2 linked regions of the Drosophila melanogaster genome follow. The protein of the gene in region 2 interacts with the protein of the main gene of each other region in a pairwise test. Each region holds a gene or a part of one and is shown on either strand. Other genes may lie near its edges.

Region 1 (5,019 bases), on a different chromosome or scaffold from region 2:
ACTAAGATCGCGTGGAGCAACATGTTCGGCAAGTATCTGCTCGTTACGAACGTGGTGGGCTCCGGACTGCTGATGGTCGTGGGCGATGTGATAGCCCAGGAGTACGAGTACAGGCGTGGATTGCGGCACCAGGACCGCTTCGATACGGATCGCATGTACCGGATGTTTGTGGCTGGCGCGCTGCAGGGACCTCTTCACCACTACGTGTACAACTGGATGGACAGGGTAATGCCGGCTCGTACGCTAAAGAACATCTTCAAGAAGATCCTGATTGACCAGCTGGTCATGTCGCCCGCCTGCATCGTCATATTCTTCTATTCGCTTTGCTATCTGGAGCGCCAGACCCTGGACGCCACCAATCAGGAGCTGATCTCCAAGTTCCCGTATGTTTACATGCTGGATTGGATGACCTGGCCGGCGGCGCAGTACCTGAACTTTCGCTATTTAGACACCAAATACCGGGTGACGTTCGTCAATGTGTGCACGGCTGTTTACAATGTGCTCATGTCCTACATGAAGCACGATTTCGGCGTTCACCTCCCACTGGAGGAGAAGTTAGTTGCGTCCTCCGAGCAGAACCTATTGCCTCAGAGTTCAACGACGAGTCCCGATGCCCAAAAAGCCGTTTAAGACAGAACGAATAGGAATCGCGGAATAGGTGTGATATCGACAAGAAACCAAATTATTTAGTTATTGTGAACACGAGGGTTATTATGTAAATAAGAGGCTCTTAATACCAATAAATATGCATGTTTAGTACACAACTGGTCCTTTAACATAAATGCTTAACCAAGAAATAAGATGAATCATTTTAAGTTATTGTTAGTCGATCAATTATATTTATTATACCCAAATTAAATTAAAACTACATGAAGTTTTAAATTATGCGTATGACTAAATCGAAACATATCAAATGCAACCTCTAACTATGTTATCAGCTGATAAAATAAATATTTGTTTATTCGATAAGCGAAATACACCAGTCTAGACTGGTGAACTTAAATATAATAGTCGTATGTATTAACCAAACACACAATGTGTAAGATAGCTGGAAAATAGATATTTTATAAATGTTACCTCCTAGTTATTTCACTTAATCACAATCGTCTCCACGGGCTGACTGATTCCAAAGATGTGCTGCGCCAGCATCAAGTGTTCTTGGTTAATGAAATTCGCAAGCAAAGTGATCACGTTCTCATTGCAGCGGGCAATCTGCTGGCGTGTTATCGCCCTGAATTCATCTCGGGCTCCTTTGTCCGCTCCACGGGTGCCAATTCTTCGGCTTTGGGAACCACCAGCTACAGTGGTCGCAGTAGGTGTGCCACTCGAATTTGGCGAGCTGGTCAACTCAAAGTTATCCTCCTGCTGGGAGTTCCAAATGTGCGAGAGTTCCTCGAGCAAATCGATATTAATAATGTAGGTGGATAGGGTGCGCAGATTGAACGATTTCCGTTGCTTGATCAGGTTAAATATCTGTTGAGTGAGCAGAACATCGTTGAGTAGATTAAGTTGCTGCAGCACTAGGATATCCCCTAGCAATCGATCTGGAACGTTCGGTTCGAAGACCTTGCGACTCAGTCTGCTGATGATGGCTCCCACGCAGTACTGAACCAACGCTGATCGAGTGAGGGGCAGAAAAACCATGTGCCTGTGGCCCTTCAGCGACATATTCTCCAAAAGTTGACCCTGGGTGGTGGGGAGTTCTGACAGGATCTTTAAAATGCACTGGAAGCCCTGGAGCTGTGTGAGAAATTCATTAAGGTTTACCCATGTGAAAAAACTGGCTCTCTACTTACCGTCATGCTGCCTTGCATTAGATTAAGGCTCAAGATCTGCAGGCTTTGCACCAGACTGCTCTGGGTGGTCATGTCCGCCATAAGCTTGTTGGCCTCATCCCGGTGTCCGAAATATATGGCCAAGTCGAAGAGGAATCTTGAGATCCAAGGCGCCAAGGGAAGAGCCAGCATAAGTTGACTGAAATCCCTTTGGAACTGATCCGTATTGAGCAGCTGCCAGCACTGGGCGGCGTGTAGGAAGGCCTTGGATAACTCTGGACTTATGGCCGTGGTCAGGGAGAATTTCGGTGGCTCCATGCTGGGCACTTCGGAGCCATCACCTTCCGGCGACCATTCCATGAATCCTTCTACCAAAACATGAGTTACATCGGCATCCTCGATCCTCAGCTTACAATTTCGTATATAACCATGAAGGGAGTAAATGAACAAGGTGGTGGCGTAGAACAAAACCTGGGAGCTGCCCGCAGGACTGCCGGAAAGTATGTCCACCAGCTTTTCCCAGTAGACGTTCTGGTTGACATGCTTGCTGAAGGGCAGGAAGGGCTCCCAGCCCATCATCTGACCGCAGATCATCAGCACTTTAAAGATGTTCTTCCAGGCATCTGCTGTATCCGATTCATCCATTATTTGCCGCAAATAAAACTCCAAGGAACTGGTATAAAGTCTGCAGGCCAGATTTGGCGAAAGTTCCGGGGGCTTATTCTGGATCATGGGCAATACCTCCTCCACCAGAATCCGCTGATAGAGATCCGGTTCGGTTTTCATGCCCTCCGCCAGCATTTCCAGTAGCCTGGGAGCCTGAGTTATGGCTGATTTGGGAAACTTGTTGAACATCAGTATGTAGATATAGATGCGCTCCAGATTATCGGCACTGTGGTTGATGGTGTGCATGAATATGTTGTGCTGTACTTCCGGAGTTAGGTGCTTGTACATTTTTACATAGAACTCGTGTTCCGGCGTAGTTTCATTCTCATTTCTGAGGGCATTTGTTAGGGAGTTGATCTCCTGCCACAGCTCCGTATGTTGATTCTGGAAATTGGTGGCTCTGGAACAGTAAAAGATAAAGTAACTGGAATAGATGTGCTATTGTATACTCACATAGCACTGAAACACTTTGCTGCCTCCTCATAATTCTGAGCATCGCGTTCCAGTAGATAAGCCTCGTATTGCAGGTTGAATGCATTGGGATATAAAGTTTTAGCTGTGATAATCCAGGCCATGGCCGCGCAAGGATCGCTTTTCCGGAGTCTTTGCGCCTCCTTGACCATGTACAACTCATTTTCCTCTTGGCTCGGCATGTTTCTTCGGGTATATCTTTTGTTTTTATTAATTTTCTCCTAGTTTCAACAAAAACAAACCATTTAGCCGGCTATTAGGAATTTATTTACTAGCACTGGCCATATTTTTCTATTAGGGATGGGAACTATTGGATCTAGAAACTAGCTAGAGATTTCAATTATTTTCAAAACGCTTGTTTAGCATAGTGCGCTTGTTTTAGTTACATTAGGGCTGGCGTTATTGAGTCATTTCAACCTAAAACGCTTTTTATATCAATATATGTTCGGTGAATTCGAAGATATTTAATTTTCAGCTTGAATATAGCTAGCTTAACAAGCGACTCTCTCCTCATCTGCAATCGATAACAGCAGCGGCAGTAGTGTTGCATAGTAGCTGCCAGCCAGCTGATTATTCGCTAAATAACCAATTGTTTTTTCGCGAATTTTTCAATTTTCTGTGATTTTTGCGGCTACAAAATCGAAAACTATATTAAGCAAAATACATACGAACCTGGCAATTGCGACTGCTTATGTAATATCTGTGACAAACCAAGTTTTCTAGAAAATACCTGCCGATGCGTCGTTGCGCTTTGTTTTTGTTGCGTGAATAAGAATCGTTGGATATTTGTACATTCGCAATTTGTTGTAAATATGTTTAAATCTTAAGTGCCACAGCTTATCAACGAAGTAATATAATTGCGATTCCCTCCTTTTGTTAATCAGTCCCACTATATAGCACTAAATATAAAAATTGAGTGCACAAATCGCAGTATGCCCCATTTTCTGATTGTCATTCCGAAAACAAACAATGACAGTCGCATTGAAAGTTTAAATCAAATCGTTTCCCAGAAAATTCGTACGTAAATATCTGAAATGTCAGACACTAAATCCGAAATTGAGGGCTTTATAGCCATTCCCACGACATCGGGCGAACAACAACAACAACAGCCGCAACAGCAGCAAAATGAGCAACAAGTGGTCGGCACAAAGGACATTAAAGCTCCTGATCAGGGTAAGTTGTGTAATATTTATAGAAACTTACTAACTTACTTAAGAGCGCTCTATGTAATTGATAAATGGCCTGCAAATAACAATCGTTCATTAGTATCTTATCATATTCTATATCGTAAAATAATCTTAAAAAATACGATTATTGTATATATTAATATTTAGTTGAGAGTATCACTGATATCTAGAAGTTATTCATAATCTATAATAGAAATCATTATTTAATACATATCACTTAACAATAGATACTCATAAATCATGATAAACAAGACAACGTACACTAATTCATGCATTATGCTAATAACAATCTGCTCATTCTATAGATATTTTTTTAACAAATTTATTTGTACCTGTTTCTATTGTTAGTTTATAGAGCAATGTGTTTTTCATCCACGAATTATGCATATCTATTTACTCATACCTTGAATCACTTAACTTGAATGAAGTTCCTTAGACTTTCATTCCAAGATCGGCGACTCTCTTCGATGAATCATCAAGTTAACCCCTTCGAATAAAAGTAACATAAATTCCGAAAAACCTGTTTGATTATTTTGTAAATTGCTTCAAAAATGTGACGTTATATTTATTGTAATAATAGCCGTTTTAATTGTTCAGTTCCAACTTGTTTAACCTAGTGTCTTATCAAATATATTATGTAAACACAAAATAATTCTAAGTTTGATTAATTTTACAATTTATTTTAAAGCAAATTGAGTAGTGAATTAAATATTTATGTCGTGTTAGACATAATTTTATTTACAATTTCTTTCGTGATTTGTTTTTGAATGCAAGTGTTAATTTACTTAATTTATTTAAAGTTCTACATCAGTCTTAAAGTCTTAACGGGAGTTTTGAGTTTACTTCTGTGTTCTATATTTTGTAGTGTCAAAATGTATTGTATATAACTACCGGTTTGAGTTGTTGCTTCCGAAATCCGC
Region 2 (4,459 bases):
GCGGCTCAATCCACCACAGCGTTCGGTTGGCCAGTGCTGCACAGCGACTGCCGCTGGAATTCAAATTAACCCTTAGGCGAATTGAGCTTTAAAAGCTTTCGTAAATTGTACCCATTGCGTAACTTGCAAGGGTTAATGCTACACGGGTTCAATGAACCAAATAGTTTAATTGTAATTCGTAAGGATTACTTGTTTATTTTGATTAAAAGCTTACGAAAACTGCTAAATAAATAAGTTACTTCTTTTGATAAGTTAGGTAAAAGTATTTCACCTTGTCCCTAGAACACCTGCTGTTTGATCATCAACTTGTTTCCAAGCACCCACTTTCCCCTTCAATCACATTCTTCGCAACTGTTGAACCAGATAAGGGACATATCAGTTTCCATGTCTGCGATGCTAACTAGGTACACAGTTGTTGAGCCACTAGGCACGTGGGCTTTTGATGATAAGCGAATAAAACAGACGCCAAAAATCGCTAATCAAGTATGTATGTAGAGAAAAAACCCACAAATCGACTTTCTTGGGTTTTATTTATACACAGAATGCTTAAAATTGCTGCAGTTGCACATGCGAACGTCATGCAAATGCAAAAAAAAAAGACGCAGTACAAGTGTGCTGCGAATTAAAATTAAACAATTGAACTTGACACTGGCTGGTCGTAGGCAAATATGTCGTTTAATTGCTCCTCTCGTTCTTCGAAATCTGCGGCGGCTTACAAAGCTTACATTGACTATGTACTTTAGGTTTATATATATATTGATCTGCATGAATGGGGGCCAGCATTAGCGCGAGTTCCTTCCAGTTCAGCCATTCGGGGGCACTTCTTTATCGACATGACTCATTAGCAGTCGATTCGTTCGAAGGGGAGTAATAATTATAAAATATATGCATTGAATGGCTTGAGAATAGAGGAAGGTGTTGCTGTCCCACATGTTGCTGTCCATGTCCATCGTGCCATCGATTAATTAGTTGTACTAAAACGACGACCGCGCGCCATCTAAATAATTCACTAGTGAACAGCCCCCGCGCGACCTTGCACTGTCGCCTTGTCGACACCTACGTAATGTGCATCGCCTTCGCCGCCTTGGCGGCCTGCGCACTGATCTCGTCCATGCTCTTCCGCGCGCTCTCCGTCACCTCGTCGATGGAGCGCCGTGTGTTGTGCAGAAGTTCGTCGGTGCCGCGAGCGATGCCCTTGACCTCCGTGTTGATCAGCCCGATCACCCACTCCAGGCCCTGGCGTCCCTTGCCGGCATTTGTGCTAATGGTCGAGGTGAGCAGGTCCTCCATGTAGTGGGACAGCGGCACACCAAAGACGGTCACGGTGGCCTCCTGCTTGAGCAGCGTCTTGCTGGCATCCGACGGATGCGGCTCATAGTAGAGCACCTCGTCCACGCTGATGTTGCGGCAGAAGGTGAGGTTGTTTGTCTTCAGCACCATCTGTTTGCGCTCCGGGTCCACCGTGGAGCGTTCGCTGGCGAAACAAGTTTTGGCCGTGCCGATCAGCGCGTGCGTCCACTTGGGGAAGTACCACTTGGACTGCACCAGGCGATGCGTGTGCAGGACGCCGTCCACCACACGGCGCTCGACCACGTCCGTGCCAATGATGGAGGGCGTCATCGGATTGGGGTACTTGCGCCACGCCGCCTGCGTGACCGTCTCCCACGGGTGGTTGAATATGTGCTCCGATGTCCAGATTTTCATTATGCAAGCGCCGTTGTCGTCACCGTCCGGGGAGGGCTTTATATCCTTAATTGGCAGCCGAGATGCGGGCTGAGCTGAGCCTGCGGGGGCAGACGGAACGGAATTAAACAGGGGGAGCGTTAGCTGAAGTACACGACTCGAATTTTGACGGCAATCTCGGAATTATTGAATATTTCCGAGACAAGTTACGAGAGCTGACCTTTACTCGTGCTGTGCTGCTAGAGATGACAGTGGCTCCGATAGATGGGGCTATCGCTGGCCAGTGCATGGGCTAGGGTGGTCACACTGGCGCAGTAAGAGAAAATGAAAGTGCCGCAGGCACCCTGTAGCGGTAACTTATTTATTAAATTTATAAACTAAATTAATTCTAAAAGTAATGGCGGCACTTTGACATTGCACGTGCAGCTTCCTATTGCGGCCCGAAGGTACGTACGTATTTCTCGTAGGGCCGTTTATCCAATCGCTGTAGTCGGCTCTCCACGAGCTCCCGAAAGTTGTGTATTACCTCGGCATCCGCCTCGATTAGTTTCCTCTCCTCGTTGATGATCTCGGCCAGCTGCTCGTCACTGTCCGCCGCCGCCCGACGTGACACCGAGCCCTCCAGACGAGTGCTGATCTGGTTGACTATCTTCTCGCTCTCGTAGTCCATTATCTTGGCCAGCGCCTTGGCCGGCGTGCGCCGCGCATAGCGTGACTCGGGTATGGTGGGGGCATCCAGGTACGACTCCTCCTGCACCGCCAGCGTGTGCGGCTCCTGCTGTTGCGCGTCTTGCTTCAGCTCCTCATTTGTGTACTCAATGAATTCCTGCAGGGAGGGCTCATCGGGATGCGTTTCGCTGAGCGTGGAGTTGTTTTGAAAATTGGTCAGGTGGAATGTGCCATTGGTGTCGTAGAACTTGTAGCCCAGCATCTCCAGCGCGATTTCCGTGAGTAAGTACGACATTTCGCAGGATTCAAAATTCGTTTATGTTTGCAATCTACATTGAAAACTAGAAATTCCGCACCCAGCAATCGATAACCGGTGGAGGTGTGGCAGCACTGGCCATCAGCTGTTCGCGCAGCGTCAATTGTTTCTCGCTTTGCATTTTTTTTACCTGTTCATCACAATAATAAGAGACGAAAGGCGGAAATAGGACACCCATATTTGCTTCGAATGCAGCCCGAGACAGTGCAGCCATGAAGATCAACGAGAAGAACCTGTACGTGTTCGCGAGAACGCCGCCCTTCGACATGGAAGGTATGCAAGCGAGCCCTTTCGCTCGTCTATTAATAATCATAATCCATTTATCACACACCGATACGCCTTGCAGGCTTCCTCAACAAACGGGGCGAGGTCAACAAGGCCTTCCAGCGACGCTACTTCGTGCTGAAAGGCAACCTGCTCTTCTACTTCGAGTCGCGCTTGGACAAGGAGCCCTTGGGCCTCATCATTGTCGAGGGCTGCACCATTGAGCTGTCTAACGAGGTGGACAACTACTGCTTCGAGATCGCCTTCAACGGCAATCGCACCTACATCCTCGCCGCCGAAAACCAAGACAGCATGGAGACGTGGATGAAGGCGCTAACATGCGCCGGCTACGAGTATAAGCGCATCATCCTGGCCGAGCTAAAACGCCAGTTGCAAGAGATGGAGGACGCAAGAAACAGTGAGACTGCACAATGGCTAATCCTACAATCCCTGTGCACTAATCCGCTGCGTTCTTTAACCTACAGAGATGCTCGGCAGCGCCTTGGACGGACCACAAAATGCATCGGAGAGTGCGAAGCCTAGACCGCCGCCCAGGCGGACAAATCCATTCAACAGACCCGCTCCTCCTCCACCAGACAGTTCGCTGAGGGGCGGAGTAGTCATGTCGCCCCTGCCATTTATCAACGGATACTTCGGATCGAGCAACGCGCGCCTGCAGCAGGAGAAGCTAATGAGCAAGCAAGGTATGAACACGTACTCTTAAAATGGATGTACAATGCTGTGGGTATAGTAATGCAAAAATTAACTGAACGGAAGTGACCAAATTGAAAGACGAAATGAATCACCATGTTCGGGGCTTTGAGTTTTAAAAGCTAATTTTAAGTGGGAAACTTGGCCAATAGATAACCGCAGAACTACAACTTTGCCTAAATACAATCATACGGCATTTTTCGGCCCCAAAGCCAGCTGTTTGTTTGTCCCAATACAATGTGAGTCTACCGTTAGTAGAAGCTAGAGATAAGAGCAGAGTGCTCTCAGTATAATCCGAACTTCGATTGCCAGCTTATCGTTGCCATTTACCCAGAGCCGATCTAATTTAGTCAGCGGAATGCCACTAAGCGACATTCTCTGCAAAATCTGTTGCATATTCCCAAAGCCAGGCTACAGGCACTTTCTACTTGCAGACGCAAACGGAAACGGAAGCCCCAGCGGAACGCCCAGGGCCCAGCGCCGTCCCACGCCCGCTCCTGCCATCGCGAACAGCGTCTTCTATCCCGATGTCCGGGATCCGGGAGCGGCCAACAATAATCACAGCACCGTCAACGGTGCTGAGCGCCAGCGTCGCCAGGTCAAAGCACTGGAGGAGTTCGCACGCAACCACGAGCGCTTTCGCAGGGAACTGATGCCGGATGTGTCCGCTTACCGCGAGCGCCAGGGTCAGCCGCTCATCCAGTTGTGATGTAGGAGTGGGCTGCTCCGACAAAAAGCCAATGTATTACCCGTTTTGTGCTAAATCAAATACGTTTCAAATGAACTATGCTTAATTTCCATACATGTTTGTTTCAA

Evidence for each region.
Region 1: the proteins of slmo (region 2) and IntS10 interact in a two-hybrid assay, tested with the Drosophila melanogaster proteins (one large-scale study listed by BioGRID).

The regions. Positions count from the first base shown.
Region 1 is NT_037436.4:3,804,887-3,809,905, reverse strand, and holds IntS10 (integrator 10), read right to left. Parts: upstream 3,197-5,019; 5' UTR 3,095-3,196; coding exon 2,895-3,094; intron 2,842-2,894; coding exon 1,797-2,841; intron 1,741-1,796; coding exon 1,090-1,740; 3' UTR 816-1,089; downstream 1-815. Other genes in the region: CG32262 (uncharacterized protein), read left to right, coding at 1-630; ntc (nutcracker), read left to right, coding at 3,947-4,085. UniProt on the Drosophila melanogaster protein: Component of the integrator complex, a multiprotein complex that terminates RNA polymerase II (Pol II) transcription in the promoter-proximal region of genes.
Region 2 is NT_033779.5:6,045,997-6,050,455, forward strand, and holds slmo (slowmo), read right to left. Parts: upstream 2,711-4,459; 5' UTR 2,648-2,710; coding exon of another isoform or gene 2,114-2,647; 5' UTR 1,785-2,113; coding exon of another isoform or gene 1,743-1,784; 5' UTR 1,705-1,742; coding exon 1,057-1,704; 3' UTR 655-1,056; downstream 1-654. Other genes in the region: CG34179 (uncharacterized protein), read right to left, coding at 1,743-1,784, 2,138-2,647; IPIP (inositol phosphatase interacting protein), read left to right, coding at 2,881-2,941, 3,015-3,350, 3,418-3,636, 4,078-4,352. UniProt on the Drosophila melanogaster protein: Required to regulate peristaltic movement and also for germline proliferation in males and females.